2 linked regions of the Canis lupus familiaris genome follow. The protein of the gene in region 2 interacts with the protein of the main gene of each other region in a biochemical or structural test. Links are inferred from orthologs where the notes say so. Each region holds a gene or a part of one and is shown on either strand. Other genes may lie near its edges. The genes, in order: GLMN and FKBP4.

Region 1 (16,349 bases), on a different chromosome or scaffold from region 2:
CTCCTCTTCATCTCTACCACCATTTCCATAATCAAGATCCCATTATTTCTCACTAAACTCCCAAAACACACCTAAGGATCTCCCTATTTCCAATCTTATCTTGGTTAAATTCAACCTCCACTGAAATGATGAATCCAAAACAATTATATCACAACCAGGCTTAAAATCCTGTAACAGTTGGTTACTAACTTTCTAACTATCTTCTCAAAATAGGGTACATATATCATACATGGTAATGTTTATACTGTATCCAGGGGATTATACTGTATATTAACATTGGCAACAATGAAGAAGCCCCAGTCTTTTATGTGTTGCTGGGAAAATCCCTCCTTTTCTCTCCCTCTACATCACTCATAGCCTCTTCCCTACTATCTTGACCATCAGCATTAACTCCAATAACCATGCAACCCTATTTATATTAATTACCAAATCATTTCTTATCCTCAGAATCTAGTTCCCCTAAATTTCTGGCATCTCTTCATCTAAACCCTTCTCCTACTTCTTGGATCTCAGGTACCCTTCAAAGTATGGCCTGTGGCACTCACAATTATTAGCAAAATCCATTCTTTGTGAAATGGTCTCTTACTTCATTCACTCTGAAAATTTTTTTTCTGAAAATGACTATTTTCTCTGCAGACCTCTCAAAGGGTTGCTATTTTTTTTCACTCATATCCACTATACCAAGCCTAGAAGTAAAATATCTGTTCTTCTTATTGCTTCCCCAACCTCTCTAAAACCCTGAGCTTTGAAACTTACTTCACGTGACTATACAACATCTACCCCAAGGCCATCCATTAATTGGGTTTTGGACATTATTCTTACCATAATTCTGTGTGACTTAAATGTATAACCAACAATTTTCTAATACCCTGGAATCTCAGGTACTTCACTATCTAGTCCAATGACCCCAGCCTCCGCTGGATCCTTAGAAAACTCACTCCATGATCATACCCCAGACATTGTTATTAGTAACTTTAACTTTTCTGCAGTGTTATTTCAAGCATCCTGTGGTTTGTTTTTGTTTTTGTTTTGTTTTAAGATTTTATTTATTTATTCATGAGAGACACAAAGAGAGAGGCAGAGACACAGGCAGGAGAAGCAGGCTCCATGCAGGGAGCCTGACGTGGGACTCAATCTGGGGACTCCAGGATCACGTCCTGGGCCAAAGGCAGCGCTAAACCGCTGAGCCACCCAGGCTGCCCAAGCATCCTGTTCTTTAACCTCTAATCTTTTCAGCTCACTCCTTTTAATAACCTAGGCTCCAGCAACTTGTTATTCACACCAGGAACTACAATCCAACGATTCCATCATCTTCTTCACTGTCTCTCACATTTTGTATGTCCTATCTTCCCTCCTTATTCAGCTTAAATTCTACTGTTCCTCACAGTCACTTCCTTGCATACAAGCTCAATGCCTTTCTCCCTCTCTTGCTTTGTAGAATTCACAGTTCTCAAAACTCTGACCTAATTAAATCCAACTTTCTTCCTATGTTGTACCTACACTCATACAGCTGAACATGGCTAAAGAAAATCCACAATCACAATGATTGCTCTAATCTGAAATTCATGACTATTAATTTCAAGTACATAGTTTTCCATATTTCAAATTAGTTCCCTAATACGGAATCCCAGCACACTTATTAGTACTCTTTGATGCATTACACCAAATTACTTTTAAAATAAAATTTACTTATTTCTGGAGTTATTTTGAAAATATCATAAACCTTAAAACTGAGGATATCTTTTGGCACAGAAATTCTACTTCTAGGAATTTATTTTAAAAAAGCAACTAAAATATGCAAAGATTTGGTTAAAAGGGTACTTATCATAGACTTAACAGTTAAAAGAAGAAAGCTGGAATTATTTTATAATATTGAAAAATTGGAGAAAACCTAGAAAATTGGAGAAAACCTAAAACCTACTAGGGCACCCCGGGTTGGTCAGTGGTTTAGCGCCTGCCTTCGGCCCAGGGCCTGATCCTGGAGTTCCAGGATCAAGTCCTGCGTTGGGCTTCCTGCATGGAGCCTGCTTCTCCCTCTGCCTGTGTCTCTGCCTCTCTCTTTCTGTGTGTCTCTCATTAATAAATAAGTAAAATCTTAAAAAAAAAAAGAAAACCTAGAACTAGATGGCCCTAGTTAAATAAAAACAGAAGGACAATGGAAAAATATTCGTAATATGTTAAGAGAAAGTACGTTACAAAAGAGTATGTATAATGGGACAGAATCTTTGAAAAAAATTACATACACGTATATATTCATTTAGGACTGCAAAAGCAAAGTCTGGAGGTGTTAATTTCATTACCCAAATAATATTGCTATTTATTTTCCACCTTTTTAATCTGTGTTCTACATATTAATAATGTATCAATTTGCATGCCCATGTGCAGTACATGAGAATATAGCAGTACATTTTAAATTATAGCAGATTTTATGGAAGATTAAATTAGCTGTACTTACTATTATTTCAGATGCAAAACATCTTAAAGGATCATTTCCTGCTTCTTTAGACTGCTCAAAGAATTGTGCTGTCAGCAAAGGGCATTTCAAGCTTTTGAAACAACTAAGGTGTAAGAAATGGGTAACTGTGAATACAGTATTTTGTAAGTATAAAATACCTAGCTCTATAAACTTATCAAAGTTAATTTTACATGATAAAATAACATAAGCACCAATGACTCAACAGCATGTAAAACTGCTAATGTAAAATTTTTCCTACTGGGATTGGGGAGAGAATGAGCACACCTTGAGCTGTTTACTCCATGTGGTAAGATTTACTTCCATGCCTGGACTATACCAATAGTTACTGAAGGTTTGAGGACCAGTGCTATTTCATGATGTAGTTTTCATTAGTTCAAGGAAAATCGCGACAATGTAATTTTTTTCATAAGCTCAATTTGTTTTACTTAGAAAACCAAACTATTCTGTAATTAAGCCTTTCCAATTTCTTTAGTTTAAATATTTTCACGCTCATGAAATAATGGGTTTATAAATGGCAAAAAAAATTTTAATGTTCTAACCTAAAAAAACAGAAAGCTAACTGTAGTTTTAGTCTTCAAATTTTAGAAGATAAAATTACTCATCCATGTAATTCAGTAATCTAGTCCAATACAAATATAATACAAACTCTGCATGTGATTTTAAAATCTTTTAGTAGTCACATTAAAAAAGAAACAAGAGAAACTACTTATAAACTTAATATATCTAAAATATGATTATCTCAATGTTAGTATAAAAATTATTGAGGTAGTTTATTTTATTTTTTTTATTTTATTTTAGTATTTTTTAAATACAAGTCTTCAAAATCCAAGGAGCATTTTATACTAAGAGTACATCTTGGGATCCCTGGGTGGCGCAGCGGTTTGGCGCCTGCCTTTGGCCCAGGGCACGATCCTGGAGACCCGGGATCGAATCCCATGTCGGGCTCCCGATGCATGGAGCCTGCTTCTCCCTCTGCCTGTGTCTCTGCCTCTCTCTCTCTCTCTCTGTGACTATCATAAATAAATAAAAATTAAAAAAAAAAAAAAAAAAAAAAAAAAAAAGAGTACATCTTAATCTTGCTAGCCATATGTCAAATGCGTGACAGTCACAGTGTACATACAGTATTTGTTTAGTGTATAGTGCCCCTGGAATGATATGCTTTTGGCTACTCTGTTACCGTTTTTGTTGTAAAGTTGGATGTTCAACTTTCTGGTGCTACTTCTGTTGCTTTCATAAGAAGAGTAAAAGCACAATTCCCCTACAAAAAGACCAGATTCCTTGAGCTACACCTATCTACTTCCCCTACTTTATTCACTTACTGAATAAAAGCAAGTCATAGAAGCATACAAATTTAACAAATGGATTTAGGTTTTTAATTTTTAAAAATGTAGAATATGGCATTTAATGAAGCAATGACCACTGTATCCCATAATCTTCTAAAATTCAAAACCTGAGCTAGATTTATACATCCATGGCAAACAAATACAGCAAAGAAACATAAAATAACTGACTACTTAACTCCATTGTGAACTATTAGCAAAAATATACTTACAACTTCAGTAATTCATCCTTTAACTTTTCATTTTCATTTTCCAGTGAGTTTTCTTTGTCATTAATGACTTCTTCCACAAAAGGCTTAGTGAATTCTATTAAGGCCTTGCAACACTGACAAAGGCCATAGTCATCTGTTTGTATTTGTTCCTCTGAGTATGGAACAGGAAGGAGAGATAGCTGACTCCAAAGGGTGGACAATGCTAATCCCACTGAATATGCCTTGTTGTTATGAAGTTTCTGAATCACTAAAACAGAGACCAAGTTGTGACCTGAGTTAACTTCATCAAGTATGCTATACATGGGACAGTAAGTCCAGTAAAGGTAGAATTATAACACGTTTAAAAAAAACATCGTAACGACTTTGAAATCAGGATGATAGATCATAACTTAACTGATAGTGTTTTTATCTTTCCTTCTTAGTGGTGCATGAAATACCTAAGCATCTTAAAATCAATCATGCACCTTATAACAGATGCCACGAAATCTTGTTTGTTTCTAACTGTTTACATAGTTAAGACAAAACACTTCCATATTTTTGGTTGTTATTAACTATTAAATAAGAGAAGGCTCTTTGCAAAATATTAAACATTGAAAAAATGAGAAGTAGTATTACTAGAATTACCTTTCTAGGAGACTTTGAGTATGTCAAGTGGTTCAAAGCTGCTTCATTCTCATTTAAAATGAATTTAACTTCTAGATTCCGAGTCCTTTTATCGTACTCTGAGTTACATGTAAGTCATAAAATGAAAACATAATCTCTTCCCATGGATAAATACTGTCTGTTTTGGTTGCCAAGCTCCATTGCTTAACAGTAATGTTACTGCACTCAGCCATGGGAGACTTTTCTTTCACACTTGTTTCATTCGTAGTTCTTTTGCTATCCTCAGCCCCAACTTCCCAATGCTAAGGATAAGCAATGTTTGCACAATACTGTTCTTAACCAAGATACAGGACCCACCACAATGCTAACAGAGTAAAGCAGACATCACAGAGGCAATCCTTTAAATATGTTTACAGAGAAAGTTTTAGATATAAGTTGCAGATATGAAGGTTAAGCAGAAAGCTATAGATTACAACACAGTACCTGAAAAACAGCAGGACATTTAACAAAATATATACTGGGTACCCATCTGTGCCAGGTATTGTCATCTTTCTACAGGTAGCAGGATTCAAAATGGTACTGCTATTGCTAGTATAAGCAGAGTACTCAATAATTAGTCATAAATTTACTTTGGTATAGTGCTGACATTTTGGACTAATAACAAGAACTTAACACAGATAAAATAAGAAACATTTAGATATCAAAATACTCATTACCTGTTTGTAATGGCTGAAGTAAAAGAAGAATAATTTGGGATATCTGTTTTCCAGAGGGCTCTTCAATCAGTTCAAGCAAACCCAACAATAATTCCTTTGGATTACATAACTATAAAAATATTCACAATTGAACCTGTTTAATACAAGTTGTATTTAAAGCCACATGATTACTATTTTTAAAAGGCAGCATATATTGAGAAAATAGAATTATTTTTAACAGTAAAACACCTCACATAATTGTTTAAAAAGATACACCAACAAAACAGTCAGAATCTGACTGTCAAATCACTAAAACTAAAAGCAAAAAGTCATGAGTGTCTTAATGGACAATTATACTTGGGGTGCCTGAGTGGCACAGTCAATTAAGCGTCTGACTCTTGGTTTTGGCTCAGGTCATGATCTCAGGGTCTTGGGATCAAGCCCTTTGTCAGGCTCTGGGCTCAGTTTGGAATCTACTTCAGATTCTCTCTCTCTCTCTCTCTCTCTCTCTCTCTCTCTCTCTCTCAAATAAATGAATAAAATCTTAAAAAAAAAGAACTCTATTTGGATACTGAAATTCCTAGGAAAAGTTAGAAAAATAGGAGAATAGAAGAACTTGATTACCAAAACTGAGGTTTCTTTTGAGCTTTGACTGTCTACTCTGAAAGCTACCTTAGTTTCTCATGACTTCAGCAGGTGGGACTTTTCTATCTCACACTGTCAGGGTATTTAAATGAGTAAGTCTCTTTTGTCCTTTCTGAACAGATATAACTTTGCACTGCCTTCTGACTACCCAGAATTACCACACTTGCCTTGTTTTCCTTTTAAAGTAGTTAATAACTACTATCTAGATGGGGTTTCCACTTTCCAAGTATGTATTCTTATTTGTACTGATCTCTAAGTAGCTCTTTTTTATGTCCTTTTCTTTAGATTTTATGCTCCTTTACCATTTTTTACTTAAAACTCTAGTAACTTTTTTATCAAGTCTCTAAGGTTGTTGGTTACAACAAATCTCCTTCCTATTCCTATATCCCCTGTGATCATTTGCATTCTTGATTTTTAATAATCTTTTAGAGAATGTACCACAGAGAAAAGAGGACTGAGATTTGCTAGTTCCAATGTTGTTAAAAGAACAGCATGGGCTTGGAACTAACTGCTTCTCTAAACCCTGAATTCCACATCTATCTGATAAGCTACTTATTAAAAATAGAACGTTTTAGGTATCTTCTTGGAGATTCTGAATCAGTGGGTCTGAGTTGAGGTTAGATACTTCTTATATTCAGAAATTTGGAAAAACTGAAGTGGACTTGCCCATCCAATCAATAATATTGGGCCTTTTCTCCAAAGAATTCTCTTCTCTATTTTCATGAGCTAAAAGCTTTATCACCCAAAATGAGCATTAAGCATTAAAACAAAATACTGCTGGCTATCATGACAAAGAGAACCTAATTTTGTTAACTTACCTTTACCAATAAATCAAGCATCAGAAAATAATATTTTCTTTTCTCATCTTCCTTATTCCACAAAAGACATCGAACAACAGGACCAACAAGATTCCAGCCCATATTCTTAATGATGACCTATAAAAACATTTTTAGAGTAAAGAAAATACTGCCATCTATAGGGCTCTTACAGTAAGCTTTCTTAACTTGAAGGAGCTTAATATTTCCTCTGAAATAGCTATGAGGCAAATGAAGCCTACAGCATCTCACCACTGACTTCTCAGGGTTGGCTATTAACAACTCTCAACATTTTAAAATAGTTTTTAATACTCTCACTGAAGAAAGGTGAATGGACATTTACTTTAAACCAGGTATGTTGGTCTTTTTTATACTTTAGTTTCTCTATTTCTAATAAGAGAATTAATTTGAGCAAATACTTAATTTTCACGGAGAATTTTGCTCTCCTGATTCATAAAGAAATGCACCCAACCCCCCAAAAAAAATTACACCCAACACTTATGAACCTTTTAAAGTAACTTGGAAAATCTGTAAATATATTATGATTACATAACTTATGTAAAAGGGGATACCACTTCAGTTACTTTCTCTTCAACATACAAGTTATTTCTATTTTCAAAGATATTTCAGAATGTTTACCACACAAGTAAAAGTTTATATTCTTGTGATTCACATTCATAATCAAAACCTCTATTTCCAGAACTAGCAATAATATACTCCATTTCTCTGGGCTGCTTTCTACTTCAACTTATCAGTATTTAATCAAGAATACACTATTATATGCCAAGTCCCTAAAATATTCTGGTGCTATAAATTAAGTAAGGTAAGATCTCTATCCTGATAAGAGTTTACCTTCTAGATTGACTCATTAAAAAAACACATCTATTCCGGAAGACAATTAAGCACATACTCTCTCCATGACCCCAGTCTTATAATCAAACCAGAGTATTGAGATATAGCAGGAGAACTGCCTTCCATCTAGGAAAGGCAAGAAAGGCTTCTCTGAAGAGACAGTGGCTAAGCTAAAATTGTTAGGGAAGTCTGTCAGGTGGAAAATATATTTAAGGCTCTGAAACAGCAATGTGTAAAGGTGTAAGACTTAACATGTCCTAGAGAACTAGTAACAGAATATGTTAGCGTATATGAACATATAGCTCACAAAAGAGGAAATGCTGTTTATATTTTTGCTCACTTATCAATTAGACATTTTAGCATTTGTCTTTATCAATCTGCATGAGCTCCCTTCTTGTATTTACAACAGATAATTATTTGGTTTTTTTGGTTGTCCTTATTTTTTTTATAAGCAAAATACACTTACTTTTCTTTGATTCTTTTCCTATTAGCTTTTAAGTCTAAATTGGTTTCTCTCCTTTAGAGATTCATAAACAAATCATTTATATTTCAACATATATACATTTCACCTTTCTTTTTATTCAAAAGATTTATGTTAGAAACATGGAATAAAGGGCGCCTGGGTAGCTCAGTTGGTTAGGCTTTCAGGTCTGGATTTTGGGTCAGGTGATGATCTCAGGGTGGAAATCAAGCCAGTGTCTGGGCTCAGCAGGGGGTCTGCTTACCCCTCTACCCCTCTCCTTGACTCATGTTTGCATGCACGTGCACTCTCAAATAAATACATCTTTAAAAAAAAATTTTTTTTTAAATGAATGCTTGAATCGATTATTTTTTTTTAAACAAATAGCAAAACAATCATTCTTGGGATGCCTGGGTGGCTCAGCTGTTAAGTGTCTGCCTTTGGCTCAGGTTGTGAACCCAGAGATCAGGACTGAGTCCCACATCGGGCTCCCTGCATGGAGCCTGCTTCTCCCTCTGCCTATGTCTCTGCCTCTCTCTTTCTGTATCTCATATGAATAAATAAAATAAAAACAACAACAACAAAAACAATCATTCTTTTTAGCTAATGGGAAAGACAACTCAGCTGTTCTAAATATTTTCGTTTCATATTCATAAATCATTCCATACTAGTTATTTCTTCTGCCTGGCATGCTCTTCTTTCAGATAGCTCTTCTCCCTATGGTTTACTCCTCTCCTTCCTTTTCAAATCTCTGCAGTCTCACCTAACATGGTTCATCCCCTAGTTATGCTTTATTTTTTTCTATAGTATTCATCACTTTCTAACATACCATATAGTTTATTAGTAGATACCTGTCTTCATTAGAGTTTAAGATCCATATGAGCAGTTTTGTTTACTGCTGTATCTATTCCTAGCATCTAGACAAGGGCCTGTTAAAAAATAGGTGCTCCATAAATACATTTTGAATGATGTCTGTTATCTTTAAGATAACAGGGTGACAAATTAGATTCCCTCCAAAGCTTTGATATTCTGTTGTTTTTATTAATTTTTTCCAAATTACTAAATATTTATTCCACCATTACCTATTAAGACTACTCTTGCTTTTTAAAACTTAACTAGGGGATCCCAGGGTGGCTCAGCGGTTTAGCGCCTGCCTTTGGCCCAGGGTGCGATCCTGGATTCCCGGGATCGAGTCCTGCATCGGGCTCCCGGCATGGAGCCTGTTTCTCCTTCCTCCTGTGTCTCTGCCTGTCTCTCTCTCTCTGTCTATCATAAATAAATAAATAAATCTTTAAAAAAAATAAAAATAAATAAAACTTAACTAGCTCCTATTAGGCTCTACTTTTCCAAATAAGCACTTCTTTGCCTTTCCATTGGTGTATTTCTACCCTATAAGTGATCTCTGAGAATTAACTATATGGGAAATTCTAGATTTAAATAAGATTTTGCATATCTGAAATGAAAAAAAATAATTTTGATAAAATACTTTACAAACATCATCTCAGCTGCAAGGTATCTAGTCATTATGTAAATAGTGAATAATTATGAGGAAAAGGAATCAATACTAACTATCCATAAACTACACCTTGTTTAGTTTAATACTAACTACCTACAAAGTAAGATTATCCCCAAATGACACATGAGAACGCCAACGTTTAGAGATTACTGGCATGCCTAAAAATCAACTAAAATGTGGCAGAACCAGGAACTGCATATAAATCTGTTTGGCTCCAAAGCCCATGTGTTTCCCACTATACCAATGGATATCCAATGGGGGCAATTTTGTTCCCTGTCTACCAGAGGACATTTGGCAACATCTGAGAACATTTTTGATTGTCATTTCAGAGTGTGGGGTGGTTACTACAAAATATCTAGAGTACTAATGTTGAGAGGCCCTATACTATAGGACAAACTATTCATATGGCCTTTTTTTTTTAATTTACAAAAAAAGAGTATAGTAAATCGATCAAGCCTGATTGCATCACCTGGCAAGAAAGCTAAGCTGCAGTCAGTTTGAAATACAGTCTTATAGGGGATCCCTGGGTGGCTTAGTGGTTTAGCACCTGCCTTTGGCCCAGGGCGCAATTCTGAGGTCCCGGGATCGAGTCCCATGTCGGGCTCCTGGCATGGAGCCTGCTTCTCCCTCTGCCTGTGTCTCTGCCCCTCCCTCTCTCTCTCTATTATGAATAAATAAATAAAATCTTAAAAAAAAAATACGGTCTTATCAATGTCTGAACCTTTGAATTTAGCAAACCACACATTACAAAGATGATTCTCAACCTATTAAAGTTAAAACTCAAAAAGTTAAAAAATATCACTATCACCCAATTTTCTTCTTTTGTTTCAAGTTTTTAAATTCTAGTTAACATAATAACCTAATTATTTTTTTAAAGATTTTTATTTATTTATTCATGAGAGGCACAGAGAGAGAGAAAGCAAGGCAGAGACAGGTAGAGGGAGAAGCAGGCTCCATGCAGGGAGCCTGACATGGGACTCGATCCCAGGTCTCCAGGATCAGGCCCTGGGCCGAAGGCGGCACTAAACCACTGAACCACCTGGCTGCCCAAGAAAACTTCTATGTAAATAAATAGTACTGTAAATGAAGAAAGAGTGTGCTCCTGGAAAGATGATCTTTTCTTGTATAAAAAGGCAAGTATGGGGCAGCCTGGGTGGCTCAGCGGTTTAGTGCCTGCCTTCGGCCTGGGGCATGACCCTGGAGTCCCAGGATTGAGTCCCACATCAGGCTCCCTGCATGGAGCTTGCTTCTCCCTCTGCCAGTGTCTCTGCCTCTCTCCTCGTCTCTCTCTCTCTGTGTCTCTCATGAATGAATGAATGAATGAATGAATGAATAAAAAATAAAATCTTAAAAAAAAAAAAAGGCAAGTACAAAGACAAAAAATTTGGCAGTGTTGCCAACACTGCGTCCCCGGAAACATTTGTTTCTCATTCCCAAAAGATCCTTTTCCCATTGATGAAAAGGATTTTTCAGATGATTATAGCTGCATGATATTGGCCAGTAAGGCCATCTAAGTCTGCTCCTATTCTGATTTTATGCACCCAAATATTATCTTTTTACTTCTTTAAGATTTTATTTATTTATTTGAGAGAGCGAGAATGAGCAGGGGAGAGGCAGAGGGAGAAGCAGACTCTCTGCTGAGCAGGGAGCCTAAAGCAGTGCTCCATCCTAAAACCCAGGATCATCAGCTGAGTGGAAAGCAGATGTTCCCTGTCTACCAGAGGAACTTAACTGATACCAGATACACTTAACTGACTCAGCCAGCCTCCTAAATATTATCTTACTTAATATCTGGTTTTCCATATATATCTGGCTTAAGAAAGAGAAAGTGCGGATTACCAAAAATGAGTATCTAGGTTGCCTGATACTTACAGTACTAAATGTAAATCAATAATAATCCAAATGCCACTTTTGATCCCTAAAGCAGAAATAATCCTTGCTCTTTTAAAGCACTTTACTCAAACTATATCTATTATTTCACTTATTCTGCCCTCTTGCTAGTTGTTTACATGATTATCTCTTCCACCAGACTATAAGCACCTTCAAGTGTATGAATAGCCCTAAGCCCTTTTTTGTTTTCCATGTTCCTACTGTAGAAATTTGATTCTTAAATGTTTGATGAATGAGTGGATAAACAATAGCATCATGTGGCTATTATCTTCCTAGTAAAGACTAAAAAATACTCATAAAGATTGCACTTACCTTATTCTTTTCATTTTGAATAATCTCTAGTAGCTGCTCTATGTGCCCTTCATCTATGCATCTTTGGCCTGCTAATTGAAATAGGCCAAAATCTTCTTCTTTGAAGTCTTGTTCTTCTAGGATTTGCTGACAAAAACAAAATGAAGACAAAACGTTTGGTGAATAAAAAATTCAATAACTACTTGATTTATTCTCTCTGGAAATAAAAAGGAAATGTGTTTGAATTCTGAGTAAGTTGCACATTAGCATATGTGTGAAAATTAGGATAAGCCTGAAAAAGTAGTTTAATGATCTTGAAATCCACACTGCCAAAAAAAATTCTACAATAAAGATCAATATTAAAAATTTTAAAGGTTAAAAAAAAAAAATGTTAAAGGTTAGACAAGTAGGTCACTTGGAGAGATAATCCAATCTGCCTTCTGGCCCTCCTGCTATTTATTCACCGGTCAAACAAAGCAAGGATTAGAGAAGATAAGCAATTTGAGTGACCCTAAGTATAACTAGAAATAATCTTGCATTTAACTTTACAAGAAGAAAAATTACTTACACATCTCATTATTATGGACTGAAGTTCTTCCACAGCCATTCCTCGTTATTTTTCCTAGTTTTTATGCTGAAATATAAAACAGTTAACTATCAGTGATATTACAGTATTAATGAGTTATGTTTCATTCTGATGAATTATCAGTAAATACAATAAGGAAAATACGACATTTTAAAGCTGAAATATTTTGACTTAAAAGTATTTTAGCCTAAGGAGTAAAAAACTGTTGCATCTTTTAGGTTTTCTAGAATAGTTTTGAAAGATCTACCTGAAAAAAAAAAAAAAAATCCTCCTGGGTACGCCCAAACAGGAGCGCAAATATCGGCTACGTAAATGGCTTTAAAAAGGCTAAGTATTTCTTTTCTGAAAAAATTTCCCAAAAGTGTTCCTGAAATCAGTTCTAGTCATTAGGGAATCTTAAAAAATGCTTCAATGTCCCACTTGACAAACACTGGCGCCTACACAACTCACCCCAGAGCGGGTGAAAGTTCCGATGCCCACAGTCCCAAGTGCGACCCGGACGTTCTTCTGTAAGCGATGCGGTCCCCCAGTCACCCAGCTGGTGTAACCGCCAGGCCGCACGGACGCGACGCAACCGGCAGCTCCCGGGGGAACACGGCTCGGCTCCCGCAGGCGCCGTGGGCCCAGCGGCAAGACCCTGCCCCAGGCCCGCAGCGGGAGCTGGGTCAGCCGGGTCCCCGCGGCCGCGCGCTCCAGAGCGGATAAAAGCCCAGCGCGCGTGCGGACTGCATCCAAAGGAAGCCATTTCTCCCGATTCCTGCGGGCCTAGGCGTTCGGGCCCACGACCTCGTGGGGCCTTGCGGGCCGCGGCGCCGGCTCCCCCGCGGCTCGCAGCTGGCCCCGAGCCCCGGCCACCCCCGCCGCCCGGGCGCGTCCACTTACCGCCGGGCCTCTCGCCGCTCTCGGCGGCTTCCCCCACCTCCTCCGGCCGCGCAGGCCTCTCCGGGCCCCGCCCCTCCCCGGCCGGCCCCGCCCCGCGCTAGCGACGGGGGGCGGAGCCTCGGGGGGAGACGCCGGGTCCCGGGCTGACCTTCTGACGCGTTTCCCATGGCTGACTCCGCCGGGCCGCGCTCGCCCGGCCTCAAGGCTCGGACGCCCCGCGCTTCCCGAAACGCCTCAGGTAAGAAGGGCCCTGAGAACCGAGCCCCTCGAGTGTTCCACACGGAGGCGCGCGGGACACACCCGGAAGACTGCTCCGGGGCAGAGAAGGCCCAGAGCGGCCCATCCCCGGCCTCGGGTCTTCTGGGAAAGACCTCCACACCCTCACCTCTTCACACCGGTGTTCCAAGATTTGCCCCAGAACCGGTCTCTGAGGGAAAGGGAGTAGAGGAGCTGGAGTCTAGAGCTGGCTCGCCAGAAAGGGCAAGCGACCGGGGCAGCCCAGCTTGGACATGCACTCCTGCTTTAGCTCCGGGTCCTCTGAGGCGTCACCCCACCCCTGCTCTTTCCCTGTGAGCGAACATTCGGGGGAACATTTCGAGTTGCCTACACCTCAGATTTGCAGGAGCCCCCGTGACCATGCAGCTGTTTTACATGAGAAAATTCAATCCCCGAGGAGATACATTTTAACCAAGAAGAATTCGGGAATAATTAGCAAACTGAATTCCGCTTGCCCATTTCATTTGTTTTGCAAACGGGATTGGAAAGTAACGTGTGGGGAAGAAAGAAGAGAGGTTGTCTGCAGTTTCAGTAGGAATCTGTCCTGTAAACTAGTGTGTTTCCGAAGACTTGAACTCCACAATAATTTTATTATTATAAATATAAAATATTTTTATTATTATTGTAGGTGCTAAACAGACGAATGCTTTAAAACAAGAAGATGCTTCTAAAAGGTAGGAGAACTACTTGGACAACTGCATTAGCTTATCTATTTATCTCATGTTAATTTAACCATTTTTATAAACAAGAATGGGAGATACTTAAAAAAAAATTATGCGAAACAAAGAGAGGATCAGAAAAGCACTATAATTTCTCATATATAGACTCATTATATCTCTCTACTCCAGGCTTTAAGAAAACCAAATCAAGACACTTTTAGATTGCTGGTGAAGGTATGAGTATCTGTAGAAAGATGTCTAAGGGAATAAACATTCTTCAGTTAAGCAGGTACTCCTTTTCCACCTCTTCAGGTACACTTGCCTTTTATTACTTTATATACCAGAGACTCCAAGAAACCTTTACTGTTCTTCGTTTACATTATGTCCATATTTTCAGCAAAAAAAGTCCTATTCTGTTGCTTGGCATCTCCTAAACAGACTAGATTTACCTCCTGTCACAAAGTTTCTAGAATAGGAGTAGTTTATGAGAATGATTTAAATACATAGGTCAATATTTTATTCTTAAAAATAAAAAAAAAAGATTTATTGGGATACCTGGGTGGCTCAGCAGTTGAGCATCTGCCTGTGGTTCAGGGCATGATCCTGGAATCCAGGATCAAGTCCCATATCAGGCTCCCTGCATGGAGCCTGCTTCTCCCTCTGCCTGTGTCTCTGCCCCCCCCCCCCCCCACCGCCCGGGGTGTGTGTGTGTGTGTGTGTGTGTGTGTGTGTGTGTGTGTATGTATGTCTCTCTCATGAATAAATAAAATAAAATCTTAAAAATATGTTTATTCATTTTAGAGAGTGAGCAAGTACATGTGTGGGATGCAGGTGAAGAGGGAGTAGAAGAAGAGGGAAAAGAGAGACTCTAAAGCAGACTCCCCACTGAGTGTGGAGCCTGACTCAGGGCTTGATCTCACAATCCTGAGATCATGATCTAAGCTGAAACCAAGAGTCAGATGCTTAACCACCTGAGCCGCCTAGGGGTTTCAGTGATTTATCCTTTTATATCAGGCAGGTAGTGGCTGTCATTTACTCATTCTTTCAAAAATTATTTACCAAATAGGAGATATGCCAGGCCTGTGTTAAGCCCTGAGGATATGGTTTTGAGCAGAATAGACACAGTTCTTTTCTACTGGAACGGAGAAATACGGATTAAATTGTCACAACTGAATACATAATTATATATTGTGATAAGTGCTATAAAGGAAAAGACTATGAAGTTATCAGATGGAACTAATAGGTGTTCAGATTAGCTGGGGATTCTCGGGGAAAGACTTTGGAGCCCTGAAGGCTAAATAGGCATTAACCAGAGTCCTGAGGAGAGTCCAGCCAGAGATGGCAGTATATATGAAGGCCCTGAGAAGAAAAAGGTCAGTTCAAGGAAAGGAAAGATAACCGTGGTAGTGTATGGCATTTTGAGCAAGGGAAGAAAGGAGCATAGGAAAAACTTAGGATTCCATTCTTAAAGAATCTGGTGGGCCGTGGTGAGAAATTTAGATTTTCTAAATGCAAATATGAAAACATCAAGTAATAGAGTGATGAAATTTAAGTTTAAAAAGTTTTAAGAGGAGTGCCTGGATGGCTCAGTGCTTGAGCATCGCCTTTGGCTTGGGGCGTGATCCCCAGGTTCTGGGAGAGTCCTGCATGGGGCTCCCATGAGGGAGCCTGCTTTTCCCTCTATGTCTCTGCCTCTCTCTGTGTGTCTCTCATGAATAAAAATCTTTAAAAAATTAAAAATAAAAAAATAAAAGTTTTAAGATGTTAGCGATGGTGATCATCTGGGAATAGAGAAATTGGATGGATTTGAGATCAATATTTTTTTAAAGATTTATTTATTTACTTGAGAGAGAGCATGCGAGAAGAAATTTAAAAAATTAACGGGTGGGAGGTACAGAGGGAGAGGGAAAGAGGGCTTTCTGCTGAGCAAGGAACATAGTACGGGGCTCACTACCATGATCCTGAGTGGAAACCAAGAGTTGGACACTTAACCAACTATGCAACCTGAGTGCCCCTTGCGATCTATTTTAGAGAATATTTCCCTGTGGAGTAGCATGACTTGGTTTTATGATACACTGCAAGAGTAAAGTTAATACTGATAATGATGGTAATTTGCAACTTTCTTCAATAGTGTGATCTGACCACAAACCC
Region 2 (16,054 bases):
GCTGATGCCCTCCGCATCCACACAAAGTTCTTGCCTCCCTGCCTCAGTGGTCTTACTCTGTCTGTACTGTAGATGGGCTGTCACCGCCATGGTTGGTCTCTTGGAAATTTCTTTATTTGGGGTGCCTGCCTCATCAGTCAGGGCATCAGAAGTCTTCCTTGTAGAATTCTGCAGGTCCAGACTAATGTGTGCACTGGTCTTTGAGGAGGTGGACATCGTGAAAATAAGAATATCTACCACACCTGGGGAGGTTGGACCAGGGGGCTGGTCCCACTTTCTACATCTGAACATAGAGGGAGAAGGCACTGGAGGCGGGACTTTTTGCCTGGGGATGGGAGAGGGGGGTGGCACGTTTTGTCCCAGACGTCCCTATGGATCTGACAGCTAGATAAGATGAGAACAAGGAACAGCAAACAGAACAGTAAACAGGAGGCTGTCCAGACAAATAGCTGGAGACTGCAGATACACTCGAGTTTCTGTTTTGATGGTATACCGTGGGCTTGGTGGGGTCCATTCAAAGGCTCTGTGTCACACAGGTGTACCTGGTGCTTTAAATGCATGATCTTACTATGGAGGGGTTGCACACAACCTCATCCTGCACTACCATATCTCTGTTTTCCTCTCATTCTAGCTCATACCCCAGCTTCCTCTTAGGTCTTAAGGGATGGAAAAAGAAAAGCTGTTTTAAAAATGCTTACTTCTAAATGAAAGTTAAATGGTGTTGAATTGTGTTTCTTTTCTCTGTTATTTCTCTATTGTTTTCTCTTTTTCCAGCCTTTTGAATGAAATTATAAAAGTAAATAATTAAGTAAATTCATAAATAACCCAGGACAAAATAGGTAAGGCTCACTCAGCTTCTACTACCAAGTACCCTGGCCTGACCCAGTTCTTTGAAATCATACCCTGACCCAGCACTTCACACTTAGTTTTATCTCCTTCAACAGTTGTGTTTCTGGTTCTTGACCCTTCTTTGCCACAGGCTGCCTGTTAATGTTTCTCCTGTAGGTGCTGTCGTTATGATGACATTATGTCACATGACAACTTGGATACCATGTCTTTGGGCTTTTGTCAAGAGAGTCAAATAAAGTTAGTAAGGAAGGTGAGATAGATCTCCAAGAAATATGACAAGAATGGAATCTTTCTAGTCTCCCCACCTTGCGTCAGTTACTTCATCTGGGTTGTGTGTTACATTCTTTGGAAGTGGAACACACTAGGCAATTGCAGAGCCATGTGGACAGATCCCTAGCTCCACAAGGAACACCCCTGTTGTTGGCCCTTCATAATGGGATGGTTGATGGCACGATCCACTGGCACCATCTAGAGCTAGTCTTTTTTAAGCCAAGCACGCTTTCAGCATGGGTGTTGGCTTACTCCCCAGAACTTGCTCACCAGGCCATCTTCCTGGTTAGATGACATGGATACAGTTGTGTGGGTGGCATATTGTTTACCAGTCAGCCCAATGATAGCTTCATTAGAAACCTGCTATGGGAAGGAGGGACGTTAAATGGGAAGCATTTCCAGGGAGATACTTTGCCCACTTCTAATTCCAGGAGTGGACAGAGGGGTCCAAATTTTGCATACCTAGGATGGCCAAGTAAGAAACAGGACCTTGAAAACTCTCTACATATGAGGCCCAGAAACACTTACCATCCAGGGAGTAGGGTCTAGGGCTTCCTAATGGGCTCAGTTTGAGAATGCCCTTCCCTCTCTAGTCTGCAATGCACCTTAGCATAAAAGGTCCTGAGAAGTCCTCAAGTACAGAAAACTGTTTCTCAGACTGACTGGAAATTAGGACAACAATGTGGGCAGCCCCGCTATGAGTGAAACGCTGTCATTCAGAGCTCTTTTTGAGTCCCACCTACTTCTTTGCATGTTTGGCTCTGTCAGAAAGGATCATCCACTCTGGGAGGCTTTGATCCTAGAGCCTGTCAGGCTTGTCATCTGGTTTTGTTTTAAAGGATTTTAAGTAATCTCTATAGCCAACATGGGACTGAACTCACAACCCTGAGATCAAGCGTTGTATCAAGTGTACAAGCACTGTACGGACTCACCTTACCGGGCGCCCCAGGGTCGTTTTCTGTTAAAAAGCCTACTGTTATTAACTGAAGGATGAAGATAGTCCTTCATTTTCTCTAAGGTCCAAACATGAAAAAATGGGCTTAAAAAACCAAGGATGATGAAAATGTGTCGAACTAGATAGAGGTGGTGGTCTTACAGTGATGTGATTGGACTAAATACCACTGCATTGTTCATGTTAAAACGGTTAATTTTATACTATGTGAATTCCACCTCAATAAAAAAAAATGCAAACAGAACTATTTTATGTGTGAAGCACTCCTAACAGTTGGAACGGGAGACAGGTGATCCTGGAACCTACTGGTTGGATGGGTAGGGGGAGGGTTTGACCAGTCCTCTCCTTTAGCCAAAGAACTCTGCAAATTTGTGAAGGCACTGGTTTTTTTTCTTTTCTTTTTTAAGATTTTATTTATTCCACTTTAAAAAAATGTTGCTTTTTATTATTTATTTTTAATATTTTATTTATTTATTCATGAGAGACACAGAGAGAGAGGCAGAGATACAGGCCGAGGGAGAAGCAGGCTCCATTCAGGAAGCCCGATGTGGGACTCTATCCCAGAATTCCAGGATCATGCCCTGGGCCAAAGGCAGAGGCTCAACTGCTGAGCTACCCAGGCGTTCCAGATTCCACTCTATTAAGGGAAATGAGATGCACAGCTCCCCCTTTTGACGGTGGTGTGGCTGGTCTAGTGTGAGGGAGTCAAGTGCTCCACGGCTGGCATAAGGCAGGCAGGGCCAGGACCCACAGAACTGTGGACCTCAGTAAAAGTTCTGACCTTCAGGCTAAATGGGATGGGAAGTCATCGACAGGGTTTTAAGCAGTTGGAGGAGTAGGACTTGAATGCAGTGTTGAGTGAATTACAAGAGGGAATGCAAGCTAGGAGGAACCTTCTGCAAAAAGGAGACCCGGCTCAAGGCGCATGGTGCTGTTGGGGAAAGGCTGCTAGAATGGAAATGGGAACTTGATGTGAGGATCGGCACTAGGACAAGATGAACCCAATCTTAAATTTTCTAAATCTGCAGTAACTGCTAGCAGTACTAGTTACTGGTTTTCCTTATTTGAGCACATTATCTCCATCCGGGAAGATTTTGAGTATTGGTGAGGAAATGTTCAATTGATGAGGCTGTGAAGCTGATGGTCCAAAGCAAAGTGGAAGTACATGACACACCTGTTTTTAATCCTTAAGGCTTTTTTTCTTCTTCTTTTTTTTTTTTTTTTTTTTTTTTAACATTTTACATATTTGAGGAAGGAGGAGAGCACAGAGGGAAAAGCAGACTCCTCATTGGGCAGGGAACCCAATGCAGGGCTCTGTTCCAGACCCTGGGATCATGGCCAGAGCTGCACACAAACGCTTAACGGACCCACCCAGAACTTCTGGTCACTTAAGTAAAACATCTTCACAGTAGTCTTAATATTACATTGACCAAGGCTTGTCCAGCTCCAGGATTCTATAGAAATGCATTTGTTTTACATTCCTAGAATCCCACGGAATCATTCAGAGCTGGAAAGAGTTTTAATTCTTGTCCACGCCCCTGTTTTTGGAGCTAAGGAAATAGGTTCACCTTGCCCAAGATCACAGGAGCCTCCTAACAAGTTTGGATTTGTTCCAGAGAGCTCAAAATCCAGGCAGACCCTTCTACTTAACTTGAGCCTTGTTTTCATCTGTAAAATGGGGGAACACCTTTGTAGGATGGTTGCAAGGATTAAGGTTAATTCACACAAGGCTCTGGTTTAGTCCTAGCCTTCTGTCCTAGGTGCATAATGAGGGTCAGCTATCGTTGGCTACAGGGGCAAGATGGATCTTAGCATACCAAAGACCCAGGTGCACAGGACTGTGTTAAACTCCGCAAGAGTACAAGTGGGCACTGGGAGACTAAACTGAATTTTAGTTTGGACTCGTGGAAAGAGCCATGCTGTAGGATGTGGGGAGATTTCCATACACATTAATCTTCCACAGTAAAAGCACAGAGAAAAAAAAAAAAGTAAAAGCACAGAGAAATCGCTTCTGGAACTGTATAAGCACGTGAGTAAGCAAACTACCTCTACCACCGTATAGAAAGGACAACTTACAGGAGGGAAGAAGGCCACAGATAGAGGCTTTAGCCTGCTGCCACAACCATCGGGAGAAGACAAGACTTGTGCCCCTTGGCTTCTCCCAGGGCCCCTGGGTGGATATAGGAGGCAAAGATCAACACAGAAAAAAGTCTAAGCTCTTTCCTATTAAGGTCTACAGAGAAGCTGGAAAGCAGACCTGAGTGTGTACCAGAGTTCCCTGGCTTGAGTGCGGTTCTTCCCTACCATACATAATTGTGTAAAAGGTATCTTACTGGAGGGTTGCTAATATATTTCTACCTTGAGAAGAAACCAAGTAAAAAAAAAAAAAAAGAAAAGAAACCAAGAAAGTCTTGTGCTTTCTGCTAGATCACTTAAGGCAGAAGTAGACAAATCTAACCCGAAACCACACAAGCGGTGCCGGTACTTTATTGTATCTTTCCTCCTGTTAAAGAAGAGCAGAGCTCTGAGAACTCACCCCGCTGTGGGGTGGGGGTGTTGGGAGCCTATGGGAGGTGGAAGGCATTGCCCAGCTGTGGTCTGTATGGCACCCGGGAGGCCCTGGTGCTGGCACCACTCCATGCTCACACAACGCTTCTTGATCGGCCACACCTGAAGCACGACTAGGGGTGAAACCTGTATAGTGAACCCTCAGTTTTGTCCCCAAAGCGTAGCCATCATGCCCACCCTCTGAGCCCCAACAGAAAGGGTTGCTGGACACCCAGGTTTTATTTCCACTTTATTGCTCAAGCACAGAACTTGAGGTAAGCCCAGACCTTCAGCAACGTGCAGAGAAGAGGCTGAGGGGATTGGGGACACAACCTGGCTGAGAAGAGAAACTGATCCAAAGGGAAATACTGGTGGGGGGACAGGAGGTGGTCGTCGGGACACCAGAAGACATCTTAGCCATACCATCTGAGGGGAGGATGGCAGCAGAGAACAGTTTACGGGCACAGCAGTGGTTCTTCCCATGCCCCTAGCACCCACATGGAGGCCACATGTTTAGGAATGGACCAGGAGGAGGAAAGGACGAAAATGGCTGGAGGCTCCCTCTCCACCCTGGTTTCCCATCAGACCTCGAGTAGCATCCCTACCACTCACTCCCTTCTACCATTTGGAAAATGGACATAGCAAACAAAAGAAGCAAAATAAATTAACATTCTGATGAGTGTGCGTGTGGATGGACATTCATTCACATGTAATGGGGGGAGAGGGAAGGGAAGAGGGGGTGACACCACCTGAAATGATCCCCCAGCCTACTCCTTTCCCCTTTCCCCCAAAGCCACCATCTAACCAGATAGAAAAATAAAGGTCTAATTCACTCAAAATTCTTCAGTTTTTACAAAACTAACAGGGTGGAGGAGGGGAGGGAGCAGGGGAGGCAGGCAGCCGCAGGAATAGGGCTCGGCAGAGGCTATGCTTCCGTCTCCACCTGAGGTTGGCTCCCTGCCACATCATTCTTCTGCTCATCCTTCATCTCTGTGTCAGCATGATGGTTTCCCGCAGCTACTGCTGCCTTGGCCTGGGAGAAAGGAGGAAAGTAGGGGAATGGAGAAGAGTAGGGGGATGAGTTCCAGTTCTCATCGGGCCCAGGCCTCAGATGAGAAAGGGGACTTGTGCTCCATGTCCCTGCTCCACTTGCCTGCACTGAGCTGATGGCAGTGACTAGCAATAGTGACCTGCCACACTGACACCGTGTCAGGTCTGTACCACAGACTCCTATCCTCTTTGCCTCTCAAGTTAAAAAAAAGATACACACTAGTTTCTAACAGAATTACACTGACACAACAAACTCCCTCTCTAGGTAGGTCCTAAGATACACAGAAGTATACATTTTCAAGATCACTTGGTGCAATACTACGTAAAACTGTACTTGTCCAAAATGGTAATGACTCCCACACGGGGCTCCTGATCACTCTACCGCTAGTCCAAACTGATATCTTTTAAGTGCAAAATAATACCATGGATTTCTGGAGCCTGACTCGAGTCTGAAAAATAAATGTGATTAAAAAAAATAATATGTTACAGTATTTATACCTTGAGTCAACTAAGTATTAAAATTAATCTCTCCTGTTTCCGTTCACTTTTCTAGCACGCTATTAGAAAACTGCAAATCACTATACAGGTTGCATTATTCTTCTATTCACCAGTACTGGTTTGGAACACTGGAAGGTTAACAGGGACTGGAAAAAACAGTAGGCTGTATGCCTATGAGGGAACACCATAGGCTCAGTGAAGAATGTGAAGACAGTTTATGCTGATATAATCCTGTAGACAGGATATGAACAAAGCATAATGTACAAAACCGGTAGAACGTGTTGCCTTTTATTAGGGAAAAGGAAGAAAATGTAACTGGTCTACTTGTCAGATAATTTACTGGAATTCCAGTAAATTATTTCCAGATAACATACTGCAGTCCTCTAAACATTGGTCTTACCCAGTTGCTCCTCAGTGGTAGGAGACTTCACGTTCTTTCATGTGGTTTAAATATAACTATGTAAAACTCTATTACCTGTTTCAACATAGGCTTTTAAACCTAAGTTTTAAAAAGGCAAAAAGAATGGAGGTTGGGAAGCACACAGAGGGCAATCGCTCCCAAGCTGAGGCCTGGGGGGGTGGTTTTCAGCCCTGATCACAGAGGCACGGTGGCCCTCCAACAGGGGTCTTGCTGAGGAGTGTTCATGTTCTTGCTCTAGGACAAGGGCAATGTCTGGTTTCCAGGAGTGGCACACATGACCACAGGCCAGGAGCCGCAGTGGCTGGGGCAGGCCCAGGGCTGGGGCAGGGCTTTTCTTCTGTCTCTCCCACCCATTCCCTGTCCCAAACCTTACCTTGCTCTCCTCCTCAGCCAGCCTCTCAAACATGTTGGCATATAGCTTCTTCTCCCTCGCAAGCTGCTTGCGGATCCGCTGCTGGCACACAGCCAGCTGGGCCTTGGCAGCTTTGTTGCTGGGGTAGAGCTGCAGGACCTTCTGGAAGTCAGCCCGTGCCAAGTCAAAGTCATTCACCGCCAGGTGGGCCTCTCCACGGCGGAAGAGGCCCTTCTCGTTGTTGCTGTCCAGTTCTAGGGCCTAAGGACACGGAGAGGAAGCAAGAGCAAGACCTCAGCCCCTTGGCCTGTCTGGCCGGACTGGGTTTCAGAGGAGCCCTCAGTAGAACACAACCTGCTAGCTCCACCTCAGGAAGGGGGGAGGGGTAGTCTTCAGGCATTAAAGGGAAAAGACCGAGGTCTAGGAAAGAACCCCAGTTAGTCCATGACGCAGAGAGAAAACAGGGCTTTCGATGAAAGACCATGCCAACACTTCCATTCTCTCGAGAATAAAGCAACTACTAAAGAGGCACGGGCTAGGGACTAGGGCAAAGGAAACGCCGTAGCAGTCTTTCCCCTCCTCTGACTCCAGAGCACTAAAGCCAAGGGGCTTGCTTCTCGAAGCCCTTGCCCCGGGGCCTTTCATCTCAGGGCTCCCACTGGTCCACCTGCTACCCTAACTCCTGCCCCAGTCCTGAGGCCAAGTTTCAGACCAGCTGGCAGCTCACGCAACCAAGCCCGTGAATGCTGCGCCCATGCCTTTCCATGGGCCTCACCTTGTTACAGCTCTCAACGGCAGCTGAGAAGGCCTGCAGTTTCAGATGACACATGGCCAGGTTGAGGTGGGAGGCCAGCCGGAGGGCCTGTGCCTTCTGTGCGTCCTCATTAGAGAAACTTGACTCATATTCCAGCCAGGATATGATCTTCTTGTACTGTAGTAAAGCTTGCTTGTACTTGCCTTCCTAGAAAGGGAGGGGGGCTCAGGCACCAGGAAGACACTCTGCAGATAAGGGGACCAGGGAGTCCTGCCTCCCCCTTCCCCTGCCAGACCAGCTAGCTCAGATATACTAGGTGCCGACTGTAGGTGTGCCCAGTCCTCTCCCTGGCAGAAAATGAGTTTTCTAGTCATTGGGGAAGGCTAGGCCCAGAAGAGCCCTCCCGGGGAGCGTCCTCAGGGCCCCAGACGCTGGCTCACCTTGAAGTACACGGTGCCTCGCTCTTTCACTATGGTGCTCTGTTCCAACTTCTCCTCTGAGTTCATCTCCCAAGACTCCTTGGCCTGCCGTACCCCCAAGGGAGACACAGAGTCGTCAACTACCCCAAAGCCATGTCCCGGGACCCAACTCCTAGACAGACAAGACCCTGAGCAAACTCACCTTCTCAAAGCTCTTGAGGTGTATTTCGTATTTCAGCTCAGCATTTGGTGGGATCTGGAACTTGTCCTTCCCAACACTGCCAAAAGCATAGCTGGGGGGCGGGGGGCAGGGGGGAGAGAAAGGTCACTGCAGCCACACTCAACCTGCTCCCAGCTGAAAAGGCTTCCTGTCTGTTTCCTGCGAAGCACCTCCCCGTCCCTTGAGACTTGGTTCAAATGTTTCCTGTTTGGCAGAATCTTCCCTGACCTCTTCACACAATTAGCTGGTCTCATAGCATCTCCCATATCATTCTAACTCATACTAACGGTGGAATAGTCACTAACTTACTAATTACTAAATCTCACTGAATGAATCACTAGAAGGCAGGGCTAATCTCTCTAAATATCCAGGAATCTTCAGTACTGCTCCTGGCACATAATAGGTGTTTTTCAATAAGCATCATTAATGATGGAGTATTGCTTAACAGGAGACAAAGATTTTGTGTTGGTAGAGGAGGCAATGTAGAGGAGCCATGACTGAAAAGATTAGGTTTTGATTCAAATGTAGACAATTATGAGCATGCTCCTAAATACGAAGGGAATCACATTTGCTGTGCCAAGAGTCACAGGGACCTCTAGTGAGGCTGTGGGGGTAGTGAACACACACAGAGGAAGAGCTACAAGGGGCTGGTTACACAACTCACTGTGGACATGTACAATCCTGACCTTGGATCACGCACCTGCTCTACTAAGTGCCCACTCCTCACCTGGGCTTGAGGTACACAATGGAATGTTCTCCTTTTTCCATGCGCTGAATGGCTTTCTCCAGCCCACAAGGCAGGTCCAGGCTCTCTCCCTCGCCAACCTCAAAGTGGAGCTCCCGCTGGTCAAACATCTGGTCCTTGTAGTACCCTTCCAGTGTAACTGGCAGGGAGAAGAGGCAATGTGCCAGGGATGTGAGCAGGCAAGAGACTGAGGAAGGATGCCACCAGCCTCCCTCCGTGACCTCCTCACTTCCTGCCCCCAAGGTGCCCTTGTCATGTTCTGAGCTGGAGGGACGTTGAGAAGATATGATCTAATCCCTCGTTTCTCAGATGAGATACTAGGATCAGAAAAGGAAGGGACTTGCCCAGAGCCCCAAGCCCTAAGTACCAGAATCTGAACCGAAACCCCAGACTGCTATCTCACCATCCACGATAGCACCCTCGTTGGGCCTGGCATAGCCTTCGCCCCGAGTCCGTATTCTCCGGATGATCCCGCCATCTTCTTCTTCTGTCAGGTCCTCTCCCCTGAACTCGAACAACTCCACCTGTGGGATGAGACGGAAGGCGACACAACTCCTTTCAGCACTAACTCATCAGCGGTGAGCTGCAGTTTTTCTCTCTCCAGAAGAGTCCCTGGTAACTGCCAGACCAGGCCCGACCACAAGGGCAGCAAACCGAGAGTGGACAAAGCGGCCCTTCTGCTAAGTTCTGGTCTCAACTTTGGTAGAGGTGGGCCGGTCAAGCAGATCTGGTTGACCTCAGCTCCACATAGGGAGGACATGTTCCAGCCCACTGAGAAAGCCAAGCTGGTAGGCAGTGGAAATGACCGAACATCTTTCAGCAAGTCTCCCGAACATTCTCCAAGCATCCACTAATGAGGGCTCAGCCATTGTCAGACTGAATGGTGTGAAGTCCCCCGTCTCAGGGAAGGCTCTCATCGCCGTGGCCCACGGGGAGATCTCTCCCCTCCTTTGATCTGTAAAGCACTGATGTTCTATACTGCCATCTATCACTATATAGATTCTAACCCCCAGAGCCCTTTCAGTGGAATTCTAACCTCTCTGGGCATTGTTCCAGAAATAAAACATGCCTCACAACCCTTACCCTACTTCAAGTCTGAGGACGAATTTGTGGCCACCTCTTTCCCCCCGAAATCTCCATTAGTGGCTGTGCTCTGGCAACAGCAGGCTATGTGCACAGCAGAGCCAGCTGCCCTCTCCAGGGCTCTTCCTCCCCTAAGGCCAGGCCCTTAGCCTTGGCTACATTGTCTCCAAGCGGCAGGAAGCCCTGGAAGGCAGCCAGGCCCTGGGCTGAGAGAAGGCTGGCTCTCTGCCTTGCTCTCTGTGCCTGGACACTCACCTCAAACACAAGCGTGGCATTGGGGGGGATTTTTGGAGGGCTGCCTGCCGAACCGTAGGCATATTCTGGTTTGCAGGTGATGTGGCACACTTCTCCCACCTTCATGGTTCCTACAGCAATGTCCCAAGCCTTAATGACCTCCCCTGTAGGCACAGAAAGCAAACAGGTCCTCCTTGGCAGGGAGCTGACCCTGGGCTCAGACAGTAGCTCCAGAGACCTTTAGGACACTATGCCCACATGGAAGCTACACACTCTTTAAAAACGAGACCAGGGAGGTAGAAAACCTGGTTGCAATAAGCACTGTCAGGCCCCAGATCTCTTTTAAGATATTACTCAAGTCTGGAACAAAGTTGTTTAAGAAACCAGGGAATCGGGATCCCTGGGTGGCGCAGTGGTTTAGCGCCTGCCTTTGGCCCAGGGCGCGATCCTGGAGACCCGGGATCGAATCCCACGTCGGGCTCCCGGTGCATGGAGCCTGCTTCTCCCTCTGCCTATGTCTCTGCCTCTCTCTCTCTCTCTCTCTCTGTGACTATCATAAATAAATAAAAATTTAAAAAAAAAAAAAAAAAAGAAAGAAACCAGGGAATCTACCCCTGAAGAGGAACTGAGGCGTCCAAAGGTGATTAGGGAAGGTGAGAGAGAGATAGAGAGTGAGAGAGAGAGATCAACACGGTTCCAGCAGAGGAGAAGAAAAAACGAGTTTAACGAGAAAAATTCATGGACTGAACAAACCATTCCTCCTTACGCTTCTGAAAGTATGGTTTCTGCTTGTGAAAGCTTACACCCTCCGCAGAGCTGATGCTCCCAACCCACTAACCGTGCCTACCTTTGCCCAGGTCAAAGGAGAATTTGTCCTTGCGGTCCAGACTGGAGTCAAACTTGGTGCCATCTAACAGCCAGCCAGTGTAGTGGACAAAGACTCGGTCCCCAATCATGGGCATCTCCGTGCCTGTGCCCTCTCGCTTGATGACCTGGGAGGAAGGCAGAGAAGGTGAGTACTGGGAAAGCTTGCTGGCTTTCCCGGGGCATGGGGGCTGAATGAGGCACTTAAACTGCCCACACAGACTCTGATGCAAACATAGAGGGACCCTTCTGTCACACTGTAAGCAAAAGGACTAAACCTCCCGTGATTGTGACATTAAGTCTGGCTAGAAGCCAGCTGACACCCTGCCTCCATCTTTCTTGAGGTGCAATAGGACTTGGGATCCTGGAGTCCCGGGATCAACTGCCACGTCAGGCTCCCTGCATGGAGCCTGCTTCTCCCTCTGCCTGTGTCTCTGCCCCTCTCTTGTGTGTCTCTCATGAATGAATTTTTTTAAAAAAAAAATTTTTTTTTAGAAAAGAAAACCAAAAACCTCAAGACAGGGATGCCTGGGCGGCTCAGTGGTTGAGCATCTGCCTTAGGCTCAGGTCATGATCCTAGGATCCCAGGATCAAGTCCAGAATCAAGCTCCCTGCAGGGAGCCTGTTTCTCCCTCTGCCTATGTCTCTGCCACCTCTCTATTTTTCATGAACAAACAAAATCTGTAAAAAAAAAAAAAAAAAAAGAGAGAGAGAAGAAAACTCAAAACAGAAACCCGGAGTTCAAGTTTTTGCTCTATGATCTTGTATAAGTCAAGCTTTCTAGACTTTATTTGTAGACTGGTGATAATAGTCCCTATCAGGATTGGAGAATTAAACTGGTAAAAAGCTGAAAATTATTATCAGTAGAAAAGAGAGAACCATTTATGCTAGGTTTCCTCATTCTTCCTAAATGCTGGTGGTCATCATATCAGGGTCTGGTTTGTGGACAGAAATAGAATAATGGACAGGATCGCAGAAGTCCAAAAGAGGCTGTGAAAATACCAGGTCACCGATGGGCACAGGGGCACTGAGACTCAGGACAGGAGCATTCACTTGATTGGGAAGCAAGTGAAGTGTTTTGAGAACTAGAGCCTTTCTCAGGAAGATTTGCTGCTCTTCTTTAGCATTTATATAAGGGGACAAGGAGACTCCATGGATCACCTGGAACGTATGTGGTTACCTATTAAGGGAAAGCCTGCATAACAGAATGGGCAGAAGCCTTGAAGAGTACAAAAGGGAGGGAGTGGAAGAGAAAAGGGCAAAGGACCCTTCTGGGAATAATAAACTTGTAGAAACCATCAGGACGCTGGAGAGAGAAGAGAAAGCCACATGCTCACTGGGAGAACAGCTTAAGATTCCGAGATCTGGGCAAAACCAGGACCGTTTCTGGACCAGTTTATGGGTTCCCTGAGGTCTCCAGCTTTGCCCAGGTCTCTCTCGCTCTCTCTCACGCAACTAAGCAGTGGGAAGCCAGGATGAAAAGAAACACTGCATGAGGAGGAGGCATGAAATCCAGCCTGGGATTTCGCCATCCTGTACTGCACAGAACCTGCTCTGAAGCACCATCAAGTCGCCCTGACCCAGGTCAAGATGCCCTGCCCCCCGAGGCCCGGCCCCCTCCCTCCGCGGCTCCGCGGCTCCCAGCAGAGCACCTCCTCCCGGCCCGCAGCCCGGCCCCGGCTCACGAGGGGGAGGGGAACTACAGGTCCCGGCATGCCGCTCGCTGGCCCTCCCGGGGCGGGGGCGGGGGGAGGGGGCCAGCATGGCTGGGCCGGTGACCTCGCTGGGTCCCAGCCTCTGGGAAGGGGGCCGCCGGGGGGACGGAGGGCGCCACCGGCTCTGCTGGCGCCAGGCCCCGGGCCGGGCCAGGTCGCAGCAGAACCTCTGGGCCAGGAGAATCAGTCCGGTGGCCGCTCCGGGTCCGAGCTCATGTTTAACTGCCCGAGGCAGCCGAGATCTCGCAGCAGCGCCCGCGGACGCGTCCAGGGGCTTCCCGGCTGCAGCTGGCGGCGGGGCGGCGGGGCGGCGGGGCCGGGGCCGGGTGCGGGGGGCGGCGGGCGGCGTCGGGGCCGGCCCGGGCCCCCTGGCGGCACCTCGCGTGCCACCGGCGGCCCCGCCCCTCCCTCCGCGCTGCACCGCGCACGCCGGAGTTGGCGCTGCGGTCGGGCCCGGACGCCGCGGAACGGCCGAGGCCCCCGCGCACCCCGCCGCCCGACAACGCAGCCCGGGCCGGGAGGGCGATGCACGGGGCCGCGGGCGCACGCCCGGCTCACGGCGCGCGCGGACGCTGCAGGGGCGCCCGGGGGTCCCCGGCTCGGCGGGAGGCCGGCCGCCCGCGCCGCCGCCGCGTACCTTCAGCACGCCTTCGTCCTGCTTGGGGCTGACATCCACCCCCTCGAGGGGAAGCGGCGCCGACTGCGCCCCGCTCTCGGCCGCCTTCATCTCCTCGGCGGTCATCGCCGCTCGGTGCGCCGTTTACGCCGGGAGCCGGGAGCCGGGCCGTCTGCTGGGGGAGGCGGGCGGGAGGGCGCTGGCGGCGGCCGCCCGGCTGCGCACCGGCCTCGGGCTCCAACACCGCTGGCTCCGGCGCGCTCGCGGCCCGCGGCGGGTTCGGCGCGGGAGCGGGAGTCGGTGGGTAATGAGCGGCCGCGGGGAGCGATTGGTGCCACCCGCCGCGGAGGGAGGGGCTGGGAGGCGCAGGGGCGGGAGCGAGGGGCGGAGGGGGCGGGGGCGGAGAACTTTCTGGAGACGGCGGCCGCCGAGCCAGTTCGGGCCCTGCTGCTCGGGGTGCCTGTGTGAATGTGCGCGGCTTGGGCTTCGGGTGGGTTTTTTTTTTTTTTTTTTTTTTTTCCCCTTTCCCCCGGTTCTTTCCTCCCTGCGGCCGCCTGGCCTCCCTCTCCCCACGCTGGGGCCCTCGGACTGCGGGGGCTTCCCCCGCTCACCCGCACCCCACCCCCACCCGAGCGCCCTTCCCTGGCCCTCCCCCGCCCGTTTCCCGGTCTAACCAGATTCTTCCAGATCCTTCTCGATCCCCTGCACCAGCCCCAGGCCGAGGGTGCCCGCCGCCCCAGGTCCGCCCCAGGTCCGCCCCAGATCCGCCCCGTCGTTGCAGCCTGCGGCGTGCTGTGCCCCGACCCGCGCAGCCGGACGTGATCTCCCCGCACACGAGACGCGCATTTTTATAAGCCGGCGGCGGGCGCACGCGGCGCGGCCTCGCATCTCTGCACTCAGCGTACAGACGCTTAGAGGGCTGGGGGGAGAGAAGGGAAGGGGGCTCGGCGACCCCAGTGCTCGGAATCTGGGAGAACACCCCTGAATTCCCCAGACCCGGGAACACGTGCCGCCTTTAGCTTAAAATGGTCGGAGCAGGATTTGCAAGAAATGACCCGCTGAGCTAAGGACTCTAAATGGGACGCATATTAAAGGGACCTTCCCCAGCTATGATAGGAGGACCCTTTAGATTAATATTTAAAAATGGAAATTGTTTCAAGTCACGAAAACAGTCACTCCTTTTTACCAAAGACCCACGGCAATGAAAATTTTCTGCCTGATACTTGGTTTTCGAGTATCTACCGACTGCCTGTGAGTGCAGAGCAGCTGTGCGGCAAGTCAGAGCTCTGCAGCCCCTAGCTACCTGAATAGATAGATTTTGCCTTTGACAAAAAAGAATCATCTAGAGAGTGTCGATTTTGCTCAGCACTTAGCCCCAGTTTAACATAGTGCCTGGTGAGTGGAGTCAAATAGTTTTTGGCTGCATAAGTTTGTATTCCAATAATAATCTTTTTTTGGAGCCCTCACTATATGCCTGGCACTGTGCTGTTGTATGCAAACTGTCGCGCTTAGGTACATAATTTACCCTATTATGGATGAAATTGCAGCTCCATAAGGTAATTGGATCATTCGTTATAGCCCTGTCTGATGGAGTCTGACGGGAAGGGAATGCAGAAGAAATAAAACCATTTCCTCCAGCAATTTATAGCAGATGACTTGAGCCACAACTAAGAAGTGTCTCATTAGATGATTGGGGATACCCATTAGATTTATGGGGGGATAAATCTATTTATTTTCTATGCGTCCCTCAGTAGAGTAGGAAGTAACACTGAAAGTTCTCCAAAACTCCAGGAGACAAGGGTGGTGGGTAAGGTGCTAGCTGGCTGGTTTGGCAGTTATCTTGGTGTTGGTTTATGCACTTGGCTACACCAACGTGTGGTAGTTTCTTTTCTTTCTTTTTCTTTTCTTTTTTTGGTTTTGATTTTATTTACTGATTTTTTTTTTTTTTTTTTTAGAACGGGAGAGAATCTCAAGTGGACTCCGGGCCCCATTCCTGGGCTCAACCTCACCTGGAGATCATCACCTGAGCCAAAACCCAAGAGCCAGACATTTAACCAACTGAACCACCCAGGTGCCCCTGTGCTAGTTTCTTTCGATGCTAAGACCACTGGGTATTATCTGGAGGAATGAGTTGGGATGAAAAAGGAAAGTTCACCTTTAGAGGACTGCTTTTCTACATCTTTTTTATTACTCACAGCAAATAGCATAAGTCTATATCTTTTAGTTTCTGTTAACACATAGTGCTGAAGATGCACCTGCCACTGAGAGTTGGGTCACCCATGTACTATTTTGATCTGAGGCAGGTTCTGGGGATGGTAACATTTGTCAGTGAGAGGAGTTATAACAGTTAGGAAAGAGGGAACATGCGGCAAGTATCCAGCACAGTGCCCACCTTTGAGTGGGTGGTTTACAGAATGGTCATTACTCTAATGTGATAAGTGTAATGGCAGAGATAGGGGAAGAGT

Evidence for each region.
Region 1: the proteins of FKBP4 (region 2) and GLMN form a complex in vitro, tested with the Homo sapiens proteins (2 studies listed by BioGRID). The link is inferred for Canis lupus familiaris from reciprocal best matches to the Homo sapiens genes FKBP4 and GLMN.

The regions. Positions count from the first base shown.
Region 1 is NC_049227.1:57,137,711-57,154,059, reverse strand, and holds part of GLMN (glomulin), read right to left. Parts: intron 14,214-16,349; coding exon of another isoform or gene 14,168-14,213; intron 13,502-14,167; coding exon of another isoform or gene 13,429-13,501; exon of another isoform or gene 13,264-13,428; intron 12,971-13,263; exon of another isoform or gene 12,832-12,970; intron 12,430-12,831; 5' UTR 12,403-12,429; coding exon 12,364-12,402; intron 11,943-12,363; coding exon 11,817-11,942; intron 6,907-11,816; coding exon 6,790-6,906; intron 5,457-6,789; coding exon 5,348-5,456; intron 4,276-5,347; coding exon 4,029-4,275; intron 2,559-4,028; coding exon 2,456-2,558; intron 1-2,455. Other genes in the region: putative RNA polymerase II subunit B1 CTD phosphatase RPAP2, read left to right, coding at 13,429-13,501, 14,168-14,213.
Region 2 is NC_049248.1:4,082,562-4,098,615, reverse strand, and holds FKBP4 (peptidyl-prolyl cis-trans isomerase FKBP4), read right to left. Parts: upstream 13,762-16,054; 5' UTR 13,716-13,761; coding exon 13,611-13,715; intron 13,267-13,610; exon of another isoform or gene 13,141-13,266; intron 11,387-13,140; coding exon 11,242-11,386; intron 10,559-11,241; coding exon 10,416-10,558; intron 9,602-10,415; coding exon 9,481-9,601; intron 9,217-9,480; coding exon 9,060-9,216; intron 8,406-9,059; coding exon 8,315-8,405; intron 8,218-8,314; coding exon 8,134-8,217; intron 7,901-8,133; coding exon 7,715-7,900; intron 7,201-7,714; coding exon 6,961-7,200; intron 5,652-6,960; coding exon 5,544-5,651; 3' UTR 4,852-5,543; downstream 1-4,851. UniProt on the Homo sapiens protein: Immunophilin protein with PPIase and co-chaperone activities. Component of steroid receptors heterocomplexes through interaction with heat-shock protein 90 (HSP90).